3 linked regions of the Arabidopsis thaliana genome follow. The protein of the gene in region 1 purifies or fractionates together with the protein of each later gene. This does not show direct contact. Each region holds a gene or a part of one and is shown in the gene's direction. Other genes may lie near its edges. The genes, in order: NRPB7, NRPB6B and NRPB6A.

Region 1 (3,755 bases):
TGATCTTCTCCTCTGACTCTATATAGACAGTAAAAAAAGTCTGCAAATTTTCATTCTTTTTCAACAACCAATTTCCTCAGTGTACATACTAAATTGTTCTGTATCCATACACACATATACTTGGGAAATCTTCGGTTTCATGGATTCTTCACAACTCGAAGCCTCTTTAAAAACAGATTCTTTGCTTAGTTGTTGTCGTCGCTGCAAATTATTTGACAAGTGGAGAGTTTTTGCAGAGCTAAAAAGCGAATACAAGTTGACCAAAAAAGGTCAAATCCCTGGTTCCATATGAAACTGTCAAACTTTGGACGTGCATGGATACAAAAGCTTCTGTCAGTTTACTTTCCTGGATTTAGGGTTTTAAAACCAGCTGTGAGGTTTGCTGCAATGTGGCAATGTCACTGCAATGTGTTGTATAGAGTCTTAAGTCCTCTGTTTACTTTAAAACCCGTATTTTAACTTGCTGCTATTCACAACAAGAAAAATGAAGTCTTGTCTAGCTACTTTTGCTCTCGCAGTGTTAGTAACACAAGGAAGCATTTTTAGTTTGTGTTTGGCCTCCTCTGCTTCTACAAACTCTGTTCCTAATTGGTTTCATCATTGGCCGCCGTTTAAATGGGGACCAAAATTTCCATATTCTCCACCTAAACCGCCGCCAATCGAGAAATATCCTCCACCGGTGCAGTATCCACCACCGATCAAGAAGTATCCACCGCCACCATACGAGCATCCACCGGTGAAGTATCCACCACCGATCAAGACTTACCCTCATCCGCCGGTGAAGTATCCTCCACCAGAACAGTATCCACCGCCGATTAAGAAGTATCCTCCACCAGAACAGTATCCACCGCCGATTAAGAAGTATCCTCCACCAGAACAGTATTCACCGCCTTTCAAGAAGTATCCTCCGCCAGAACAGTATCCACCACCGATCAAGAAGTATCCTCCGCCAGAACATTATCCACCGCCGATAAAAAAGTATCCTCCGCAAGAACAGTATCCACCACCGATTAAAAAGTATCCTCCGCCAGAAAAGTATCCACCCCCGATCAAGAAGTATCCTCCGCCAGAACAGTATCCACCGCCGATCAAGAAGTATCCTCCGCCAATTAAGAAGTATCCTCCGCCAGAAGAGTATCCACCACCGATCAAGACTTATCCTCATCCCCCTGTGAAGTATCCACCGCCTCCGTACAAGACTTACCCTCATCCGCCGATCAAAACTTATCCTCCTCCGAAAGAATGTCCTCCTCCGCCTGAACATTACCCTTGGCCTCCGAAAAAGAAATATCCTCCACCGGTTGAGTATCCGTCGCCGCCATATAAGAAATATCCTCCGGCTGATCCATAGTAACTCAAAACCAAACAAGGACGTGTTTGTCTATAAGTATATGTCTAGTTAAAAAACTGTTCTGTTCTTTCTGTTATGTTCTTTCTTTTTCTTATGACTTTCTGTTATGATGCATCAAATAAAGAATAAACTGTTCTGTTTTGAATTTGTTAAATAGGAGAGTGCAAGCTCAAGAACAAGCTGTTTCATAAATAAATAAAATATATTTTCTAAAATCAAGTAAAGTAAAAAAAAAATAGATATTGTACTAAATGAATAAACTTGATTCAACAAAGTTTTGTACGTTGTTATAATTTCACTTAAATAATTTAGTGCGTCAAAAAAACAAAATTAAAACGTAATTGGTCAAGGAAAAAAAAACAAGTCTCAAGGGAAAAGGAAAACAAAAAAAAAGGAAAATTTAATAAGCAATCTGGACCGTTCATACTTTTTAGATCTGACGGCTGACAGAGAACTACCATTGGGCATCTTTTATAAACAGAGAGATTTGTTTGATTCCGGTCGAACTCAAAACATAATTTGCTCTCAATAAGACATTAACAAAGTCCCAGAGGCAGAGAGAGAGAATCAGAGAGAGAGAAGTCGAGATGTTTTTCCACATAGTATTGGAGCGGAACATGCAGTTGCATCCTCGTTTCTTTGGTCGTAACCTAAAAGAAAACCTCGTATCTAAGCTCATGAAAGATGTCGAAGGCACTTGCAGGTTTTCTTTCTCTATTCACTTCTAGTAGAAAATCACCAATTTCGGATGCTTTAATCGCAAACCCTTTTCCTCAATTCTCAATTCGGATTCGTTTTCCTTAAGACAACTTCGAAAAAGTTGCATATTTTTTCGAACCCTAATCTCCGTCTAGTTCAATTTGTTAGGTTTTAGGGATTAGAGTGGATTAAATTCGAATAAAGATCGTTCTTTTAACTAAATTGTAGTCTTTCTCTGCTGCTTGTGACTAAAGTCTGATTTTTAGCAGAATTTTTTTCCAAAGGGATTTGCTTTGAAGCCTTTAGCTTTCTTAGGATTAAGATATGACTTCATCCAGCTCACTTAGATGCCTGATTGCAAATCATTCAGATCCAGTATCTTGTTTTGTATTTGATACTCAAGTCTAAAACTTTGTTCTTTAGTATAGTTCGCTTAATCCATTGCTTGTGACAGAGATTTGTATTTTGAGGCCTCTAGCTTTTTGTATTTGCTTTAGGTTTAAGATGTGAAGTTTCATCATTGCAATGTCATATTGATACTTATCAATATTTGCTCTTTTCGTTTTGTGGTATGGACAGTGGCCGACATGGATTTGTAGTGGCGATAACTGGAATAGATACAATAGGAAAGGGTTTGATCAGAGATGGGACTGGTTTTGTCACCTTTCCAGTTAAATACCAATGCGTCGTTTTCAGACCTTTCAAAGGCGAGATTTTGGAAGCTGTTGTCACTTTGGTCAATAAGGTAATGTATCTATATAGTCTTATTTTTTTAGTCAAATGTCTTTAGTGACAAATCAACCTTATGGATTTTCCTAATATTATCACAGATGGGATTCTTCGCTGAAGCTGGCCCTGTTCAGATTTTTGTGTCTAAGCATGTAAGCTTATGATCTTCCATCATGAATTTGACCTCGAGTTCATTTTTGATTCTAGGTGTTATGTACTTACTCTTGTTCTCCTCTCTTTTATCACCACAGTTGATTCCAGATGATATGGAGTTTCAAGCTGGAGACATGCCTAACTATACCACATCAGATGGATCAGTGTGTTTCTTTCTCTAGTTCTTATTTCCCAACAGTATTATATGTGTTTCATCTATCTTCAAGGAACTCATTTTTCCAATGCTTCTCTTGCAGGTTAAGATCCAGAAGGAGTGTGAAGTGAGACTAAAGATTATTGGAACAAGAGTTGATGCCACTGCGATTGTATGCACCATCTCCTCCATAACTCTAGTCACAATCCAACTTATAGTTTTTAGATTATTCTTATCAATTTACACATTTGTTTTTTGATTTTGCAGTTTTGTGTGGGTACCATCAAAGACGATTTTTTGGGAGTCATAAACGACCCTGCAGCGGCATAAAAAGTTTCAAGCAGATTTCAATTTTGGTCTTCTTTCTTTCACAGAGAATGCTGTCTTGTGATAAAGTTGTATTATAGTTGAAGTTTTGGATCTATTTAATCCGAAAGATTGGAACCACGCTTGTTGGATTTAACTTATATGCAAGTTTAGTGAACTTCGTATTTGATCAAAACTGTTGTCATTTTGAGAACAATATAGTACCGAGTAGTGGATCAAATTCTACATGTCTCAATGAAAATTGTATAATTTGAAATTGAATGGATGTTTCATTGATTGTTAGTTATATTGTTTCATATGTTGTGGAAGATATTGAAACTCTTGTTTCATACGTTGTGGTTC
Region 2 (3,755 bases), on another chromosome or scaffold:
ATGTTCGTGTTGGACCTGGTGTAAGGCTTATTAGCTGCATAATCTTAGACGATGTTGAAATCAAGGTAATTTGGAATCAGTGTTTTAGAATGTTCTTCTTGTTATGAATCCAAAAGATTCGTTGTTTAATGTTCTCTACTCTTGTTAAATGCAGGAGAATGCTGTTGTTATAAACTCAATTATCGGATGGAAATCTTCTATAGGTAGATGGTCAAGAGTTCAAGCTAGTGGAGATTACAATGACAGGCTTGGGATTACCATTCTTGGTAACTTCATTGTTTTCTTTTTGTTCAACAAATTTTTCGTTATATTTTTTCTGATTAATTTGTTTCTGCAGGTGAGGCTGTAACTGTGGAAGATGAAGTAGCAGTCATAGGAAGCATTGTTCTCCAGAATAAGACTCTTAATGTTAGTGTTCAAGATGATATCATCTTGTGATTTATCACAATGATTATCGTTTGGATTTTTTTTCTTTTTAATTGAAACAGAGAAACTTTTACAGAATTGTGTATTACATGAATTGAGTTCACAGGATTAGATTTTGAGTAAGTGAAACTATGGAAGATTTGTAAACTCTCACTGTACTTTGTGTTTAGATACTAAAAAGATTTTAGAAGAAAGAGTTTTAAAAGATCTAAGATAACAAGGAATCAAAGAAGTTTTGCTTCTTGATTGTGTAATCACTAGTGTTCAATACCTCCTTAGGCTCCTTTCTTTTGTGCAAATTGCTCACTAGAAAAATTGTTTATCTTGACTTCGTTTGTGGGGGTAGGCCCGGACATAATACCGGAACCCGAAGAACCGAACTGAACTTGACTCGAAATAACCAAACCCGTTCTACTTCGGTTCCGGCTAATTACTTGATCGGGTTCTGTTTTCAAATAACCGTGGGTACCGGAAATTACCCGAACTGAACCCGATACCCGTGGGTACTTTTTATTACCCGAACATATATATACATAGGGCTGCGCATATGGGTAACCCGTTCGGATTCGGGTAAAACCCGTTCGGGTTCGGGTTAAATGGGTAATGGATTTACTACCCAATAGGGTAAAATGAAAATTTTCGATTTCGGTCTAGTTCGGGTACATTCGGGTTCGGGTCGGCTTGGGTAAAGAATTTCAGGCCCTAAGAATAGCCAAACAAATGAAAACGGGTATTTTATGTGTAGATAGCGGGTACCCAACAAAAAAAAAACCTTAAATATTAACAAATTTTAATAATTTAATTAGATTTAGATATATTATACTAAATTTTGACAAACATAACAAATAATTTTTAAATAGTTGGGTATTTAGATCTAAAAGTAATTGATATATTTAGATTTATAATTATAATTTTAGATTATTACATTATATTAAGATTAAATATAATTAATATTTTTGATATTAAATCTATGTTCGGGTATCCTGTTTGGGTAACGGATAAACCCCGGACCGACCTGATACCCACGGGTTTACTAAAACTTTACCCAATGAAGTAATTTCTTAAAACCCTAACCCACCCCAACCCGATTTTTCGGTTCGGGTATCAGGTTCGATATCGGGTCCCGTTTTTTGCCCAGCCCTATATATACATATGAGGATATATATACACTAATAATGTGACTTGTTTAATGATTTGAGTTATGGAACAAGCTTAAAACAAGGTTTACTTCTTGTTTTATATTATTGGCTTAAGGAAAAACTTGTTATAATTTCAGATCTTTCGGGTTTTATGGATATTTTTATGTATGTTTGGGTATATTTGGACAAAGTTTGGGTAAGTAGTACTCAAACCCGAAATAGTTTTGGTTACTTATGGTTTTTTTAACTAATACCTGAATTATCGGACCCGAAGTGAAGCCGAACCGAACCCGACCCGAAATTGTTGATATAACCATACGGATCCAAAATTTCTAAACCCAAAAATTCGAACCCGAAAAATCCGACCCGACCCTGACCCGAATACCACATGCCCAGGGCTATGTTAGGGGAAAAAAAAAAAATACATGTGGGCTTAAATGGGGTTTGAAATTAAAACCGGTCTGAATAGACGGTTCATTAAGAAAACCGGCAATTAAAAACCGAACTTCATAGAGAGTCTTCTTTACGCATTCTCCGTCATTCGGTTAAGTTGCATCGATCGTTAGGGTTTTATCGAGAGAGCAAGGAGAGCGATTTCTCAAATCGACTTTAATGGCTGACGACGATTACAATGAAGTCGATGACTTGGGGTAATCTCTCCCTCTCTGTTTCCTATGTTAGTATCATTTGTACTCGATTTCAGTTGATTCTATCTTCTTCTTCCCGACGAATCGTAAACGATTGAGAACAATTGGATCAATTATTGTCTAGTTTGAGAGTCTATCAACGAGATTCTTTTTTGAAAATTTGCTTATTGTTCTGGCATCGTAGCATTGATTATAATTTCATATTGTTTAGATAGAAAACCCTAATTTCGTTTGAATCTTATACATCGGATTTCAAATTGTTGATGTTATGTGGTGATTTTCAATTGCAGATATGAAGATGAGCCAGCAGAGCCTGAGATCGAAGTAAGTTATTATTTGTAGAAGAGAGATTGACATTGCTTATTATTATTACTAGGCTGATTAGAATGTGTTGGTGTGAGTAGGAAGGAGTAGAGGAAGATGCTGATATCAAGGAGAACGATGATGTTAATGTTGACCCTTTGGAAACAGAAGATAAGGTTGAAACAGAACCTGTGCAACGCCCACGTAAAACCTCTAAGTTTATGACTAAGTATGAACGTGCACGTATCCTCGGCACTCGTGCTTTGCAGATTAGGTCAGCTACTGAGAACAATCTTTGTTGATTAACCGTTTAGTTGGCTCGGAAAGTTTGATTCTATGTACTGTTGTTGGCTGATACAGCATGAATGCTCCTGTTATGGTTGAGTTGGAGGGTGAGACTGATCCACTTGAGGTGTTGCCTTCTTCCTTCTTGTTGTGTTTTTCATGATTTGTCAGTAAATGTTGATATGTATATGAACATTTGTGTTGTTTATTGTATGATTTGGCTTAAGATTGCGATGAAAGAGCTTAGGCAAAGGAAGATTCCATTTACCATTAGACGTTATCTACCTGATATGAGGTGAGATTGCATTAGTTATATCAATACTTTTAGCTCTTCTTTCAAATTTGATATCTTCTTTTCTTGCGACTTACTTATGACTCTGAATCAGTTACGAGGAATGGGGAGTTGATGAACTGATCGTCGAAGACTCGTGGAAACGTCAAGTCGGTGGTGATTGATAAAATCTGGCCTATGTGTTTTGCAAAGCTTTCTGCTCTTGTATGGATTATGAACTTACGATATAGTCGCATGTAGAACTTCTTCATTTGTCCTATTCTCCAACACTACAAGAGTCAGGGACTCCAACAAAAATGCATGAACAACAAATTTTTTGTCCCAAGTTGTTTTTGGACATGGGTTTCGACAAGCCTGCATGTACATATACAAAGAAAGAAAATCCTTCGTGAAACCAAAAGAAGAAAACATCTATAATAGTTTGAGTATTGAGTAAGTACAACTCAATTGATAAACCTTTTCTCTCACACTTCCCAGCTTTTGTCGTCTCACAGAGTCAGATCGATTGATGCATAAATGAGTGATGCTAAAAATCAAAAAGCAAGATTAGAGAAGAATTATGCATGTTGTTTAAAGAAGTTGAGAAATAGTAATGTTAAAAACTATGTGAAGCGCTTGCTCGAGGATTGTTTCAGCAACACTATACAAGTGACTGGACTCAAC
Region 3 (3,619 bases), 2.8 Mb from region 1:
GGCTTGAGTCTCTCTTTTGATATAACTCGTAGGTTTTTCGATGGTGTTTTGAATCTTTTAAACGAGGTATATAACATAAATACATTTAAAGGTTATTTAGTTATGACTTATGAGATTGTATGTTGTCTAACTATGACGCATTATGCAGACAAGTCATACTACATCTAGGAAAATCCTGACCCAATCCATTGCAGTCCTTTTAAAATCTTTTGATGTTAAATTGGAAGTGAGGATGAATGGGGGTTTGATCTTTCAAAAAGTCGATGGACCGGCCTCAAAAGGACATATGAAGCTACGGAACACGAACCCAAGGGATAATCCTTCAGTGACATTCAACTACTATCAAGAACCAGAGGATTTGAACAAGTGTGTTAAAGGGCTTAACACCATTATTAGAATGATAAATTCCAAAGCTTTCTCCAAGTACAAGTATCCGGGTGTGACGGCACGTGAACTGCTCAATCTCATGTTGGCCCTTCCCATCAATTTGAGGCCAAGGCACGTGACCTCAGCGTTCAACTTGAAGCAGTTTTGCATCGACACCGTGACGAGTGTTTGGCATTACCATGGAGGTTGCCAAGTTGGAAAAGTGGTTGACAAGAATTACAAAGTCTTAGGCATAGATGGCTTAAGGGTCATCGATGGATCCACATTTCTCAAGTCTCCCGGGACTAATCCTCAAGCCACGGTCATGATGCTTGGAAGGTAAGCACAAAAACTAAATAATCACAACATCAATAAATAAGATATGATGTTTGAATAAAAATCATTGTGAAAGTGCTATGTGTAGGTACATGGGGCAGGAAATTATTCGGCAAAGAGCGGCTTTCCACGAAAAGTAACAAAAAGCCTAAGGTTCTTAATAGAGAGTAGACAAAAGTTTTCTCATCTATTATTACTTGTTGTGTTATTGTCTTCTAACATTTTCACACAAATGAAGAAAAGTAAACAAATTTTATTTCTACCCGTTACTAATACACTAGATAATACTTTCTCTTTCTAAATGATAAAGTGAAATAATAGAGATAAAAAAAAAAAAAAGAGATTTGGTTTTAAATATTCCATTGAAAACACAAAAATGACAATTTTTGTGAAACAAAATTAAAACCTTAAAATGACACGCGTCCTCGAAGTCCAACTTGACGCAGTTTTGCATCCACATTGTGATGACTATATGGCATTACCATGGAGGTTGTCAAGTTGGTCGACAAGAATTACAAAGTTTTAGGTATTGATGCCTTAATGGCCATTGATATGGATCCACATTTCTCAAGTCTCCGGAGACTAATCATCGAGCCACGGTCATGATGCTCGGAAGGTAAAACGCTCATACTTAATGATCATATGATTCTTCGAGTTGTGATTGTCTTGTTGAGACTTGAGTGTTATGTGTAGGTGTACATGGGGCAAAGGATTCTTCGAGAGAGAGAGTTGCTTTTCGAGAAGTATTTTCTATGATTATTCGATCGTTTCTCCAACTAAAGATGAGACCAGACAAGTATATGAATATGTGATCATCGTCCAAAGAAAAGAAAATTCTAACATAATCAGTATATATCACATGTTCCATGATTATTTGGAATAAAGAAGGAAATTTGATTCAGTTGTGGAGTTATTCTTATGTGGGCCTAAATTGGGCTTGAAATTAAATGGTCCGATTATAAAGTTTACTAAGCATAGTTAAATAAACTGGATCATTTAAATTTTATTCAGTTCTTAACTTCATTGATTCATTCTGCGTCGTTCGGAACTCTGCAACGAGAGTTAGGGTTTATACAGAGCAAAGAGAAGGAGAAAGCGAAACCAAAAATCGACATTAATGGCTGACGAAGATTACAACGACGTCGATGACTTGGGGTTATTCTCTCTTCCTCTCTCTCGGTTTCATATCTATTCATTATTCGTGCTCGGATTTCAAAAGATTCTATCTTCTTCTCGACGAATTCGTAATCGATTTAGAGTAAATTGGATTAGTTAATGTCTAAATTAGCAGTTTTTATAGATGGGTTTCTTCGATGAAACGTTGCTTCGATTTTGTTCGGTATAGTACTGATTCTAATCGATTTTAAGGTAGAAAGTAGAAACCCTAATTTCATTGAGAAAAAGCTATTTTTTAAAACTCTATGAGCTTTTCTAGTGAAACTTGTGAGTAAATTGAAGAAAATTTGGGCTATTGCAGATATGAGGATGAGCCAGCAGAGCCTGAGATTGAAGTAAGTTCAATATTTTTTCTTTGTATAAGAGACATGGTTATTGCTTATTATACAACTTTCGGTTTCTGATTGGTTTTTTTTTTCTTGTGTAGGAAGGAGTAGAGGAAGATGTTGAAATGAAGGAGAATGATGATGTCAATGGTGAGCCTATTGAAGCTGAAGATAAAGTCGAAACAGAACCTGTGCAACGTCCACGCAAAACGTCAAAGTTTATGACCAAGTATGAGCGTGCTCGTATCCTCGGCACTCGCGCTTTGCAGATTAGGTATGGTTCTTGCTACTGAGAACAATCTTTTTAATGTTAAATTGGCTTGAAAAGTTTGAGTCTTAATGTTGTTTTTTGGCTGATACAGCATGAATGCTCCTGTCATGGTTGAGCTAGAGGGTGAGACTGATCCACTTGAGGTGTGCTTACCTACCTTCTTGTTGTTGGTTTTTGAAGTTATGTCTCAGTAAACTTATATGAACATTTGAGCTAATTTATTATGATTTGGATTCAGATTGCGATGAAGGAGCTTAGGCAGCGGAAGATACCATTCACTATTAGACGCTATCTACCTGATGGGAGGTGAGAGATTGCATTGAGCTTATATTATTCTCTTCACTCACTTGATCTCTTCTTTTCTTGTGACTTACTTATGATTCCTGAAACAGTTTCGAGGAATGGGGAGTTGATGAACTGATCGTGGAAGACTCATGGAAACGTCAAGTTGGTGGTGATTGATAATCTGACCAGAGACAAATCGACAAATACGTATGTAACTTGCAAGCTTTCCTCTCTTATGGATGATAAATTTTCTGATGTTGTAATGGAACTAAAAATCAGTGAAACTTATGGATAATACTAGACTCATATTCCGAAATTCTGCAAAACTAGAAGCCCCAAGTACCATAATTCCACCATTATTATACATATTAGAAACAGAACATGAACAGATGTACACATTCATACTCTTTAAGTTAATCATACATTGATTAAAACAATTCCAAGATCAAGATTTTCTCAAAACAAGTAATATCTCACGCTTCTTTATCCGGTTTGTTGTATATCTCCCTCTCTTGAAGAATCCTTTGGCCCATATACCTACACAAAACACTCTGACACAATCAGTTCTTAATCAAATCATTAACATGTTTTAGATTATTTGGATCATTTGGTTTATGCATTTACCTTCCGAGCATCATAACAGTAGCTTGAGGATTAGTCCCCGGAGACTTGAGAAATGTGGATCCATCGATGACCCTTAAGGAATCAATGCCTAAGACTCTGTAATTCTTGTCAACCACTCTTCCAACTTGGCAACCTCCATGGTAGTGCCAAATTGTCATCACAGTGTCAATGCAAAACTGCCTTAAATTGAACATCGAGGTTATATGCCGCGGCCTCAGATTGGTAGGAACGCTTA

What was found.
Region 2: the proteins of NRPB7 (region 1) and NRPB6B fractionate together in Arabidopsis thaliana (co-fractionation; one large-scale study listed by BioGRID). This does not show direct contact.
Region 3: the proteins of NRPB7 (region 1) and NRPB6A fractionate together in Arabidopsis thaliana (co-fractionation; one large-scale study listed by BioGRID). This does not show direct contact.

The regions. Positions count from the first base shown.
Region 1 is NC_003076.8:23,881,561-23,885,315, forward strand, and holds NRPB7 (DNA-directed RNA polymerase II), read left to right. Parts: upstream 1-1,795; 5' UTR 1,796-1,938; coding exon 1,939-2,054; intron 2,055-2,629; coding exon 2,630-2,795; intron 2,796-2,880; coding exon 2,881-2,931; intron 2,932-3,030; coding exon 3,031-3,096; intron 3,097-3,189; coding exon 3,190-3,258; intron 3,259-3,353; coding exon 3,354-3,416; 3' UTR 3,417-3,745; downstream 3,746-3,755. Other genes in the region: AT5G59170 (Proline-rich extensin-like family protein), read left to right, coding at 485-1,351. UniProt on the Arabidopsis thaliana protein: DNA-dependent RNA polymerase catalyzes the transcription of DNA into RNA using the four ribonucleoside triphosphates as substrates. Component of RNA polymerase II which synthesizes mRNA precursors and many functional non-coding RNAs.
Region 2 is NC_003071.7:1,618,669-1,622,423, reverse strand, and holds NRPB6B (RNA polymerase Rpb6), read left to right. Parts: upstream 1-2,044; 5' UTR 2,045-2,177; coding exon 2,178-2,215; intron 2,216-2,502; coding exon 2,503-2,536; intron 2,537-2,616; coding exon 2,617-2,789; intron 2,790-2,875; coding exon 2,876-2,927; intron 2,928-3,027; coding exon 3,028-3,095; intron 3,096-3,186; coding exon 3,187-3,256; 3' UTR 3,257-3,633; downstream 3,634-3,755. Other genes in the region: AT2G04650 (ADP-glucose pyrophosphorylase family protein), read left to right, coding at 1-65, 155-266, 338-438. UniProt on the Arabidopsis thaliana protein: DNA-dependent RNA polymerase catalyzes the transcription of DNA into RNA using the four ribonucleoside triphosphates as substrates. Component of RNA polymerase II which synthesizes mRNA precursors and many functional non-coding RNAs.
Region 3 is NC_003076.8:21,102,860-21,106,478, forward strand, and holds NRPB6A (RNA polymerase Rpb6), read left to right. Parts: upstream 1-1,691; 5' UTR 1,692-1,819; coding exon 1,820-1,857; intron 1,858-2,179; coding exon 2,180-2,213; intron 2,214-2,305; coding exon 2,306-2,478; intron 2,479-2,566; coding exon 2,567-2,618; intron 2,619-2,713; coding exon 2,714-2,781; intron 2,782-2,867; coding exon 2,868-2,937; 3' UTR 2,938-3,088; downstream 3,089-3,619. Other genes in the region: AT5G51930 (Glucose-methanol-choline (GMC) oxidoreductase family protein), read left to right, coding at 1-66, 149-709; AT5G51950 (Glucose-methanol-choline (GMC) oxidoreductase family protein), read right to left, coding at 3,234-3,297, 3,385-3,619.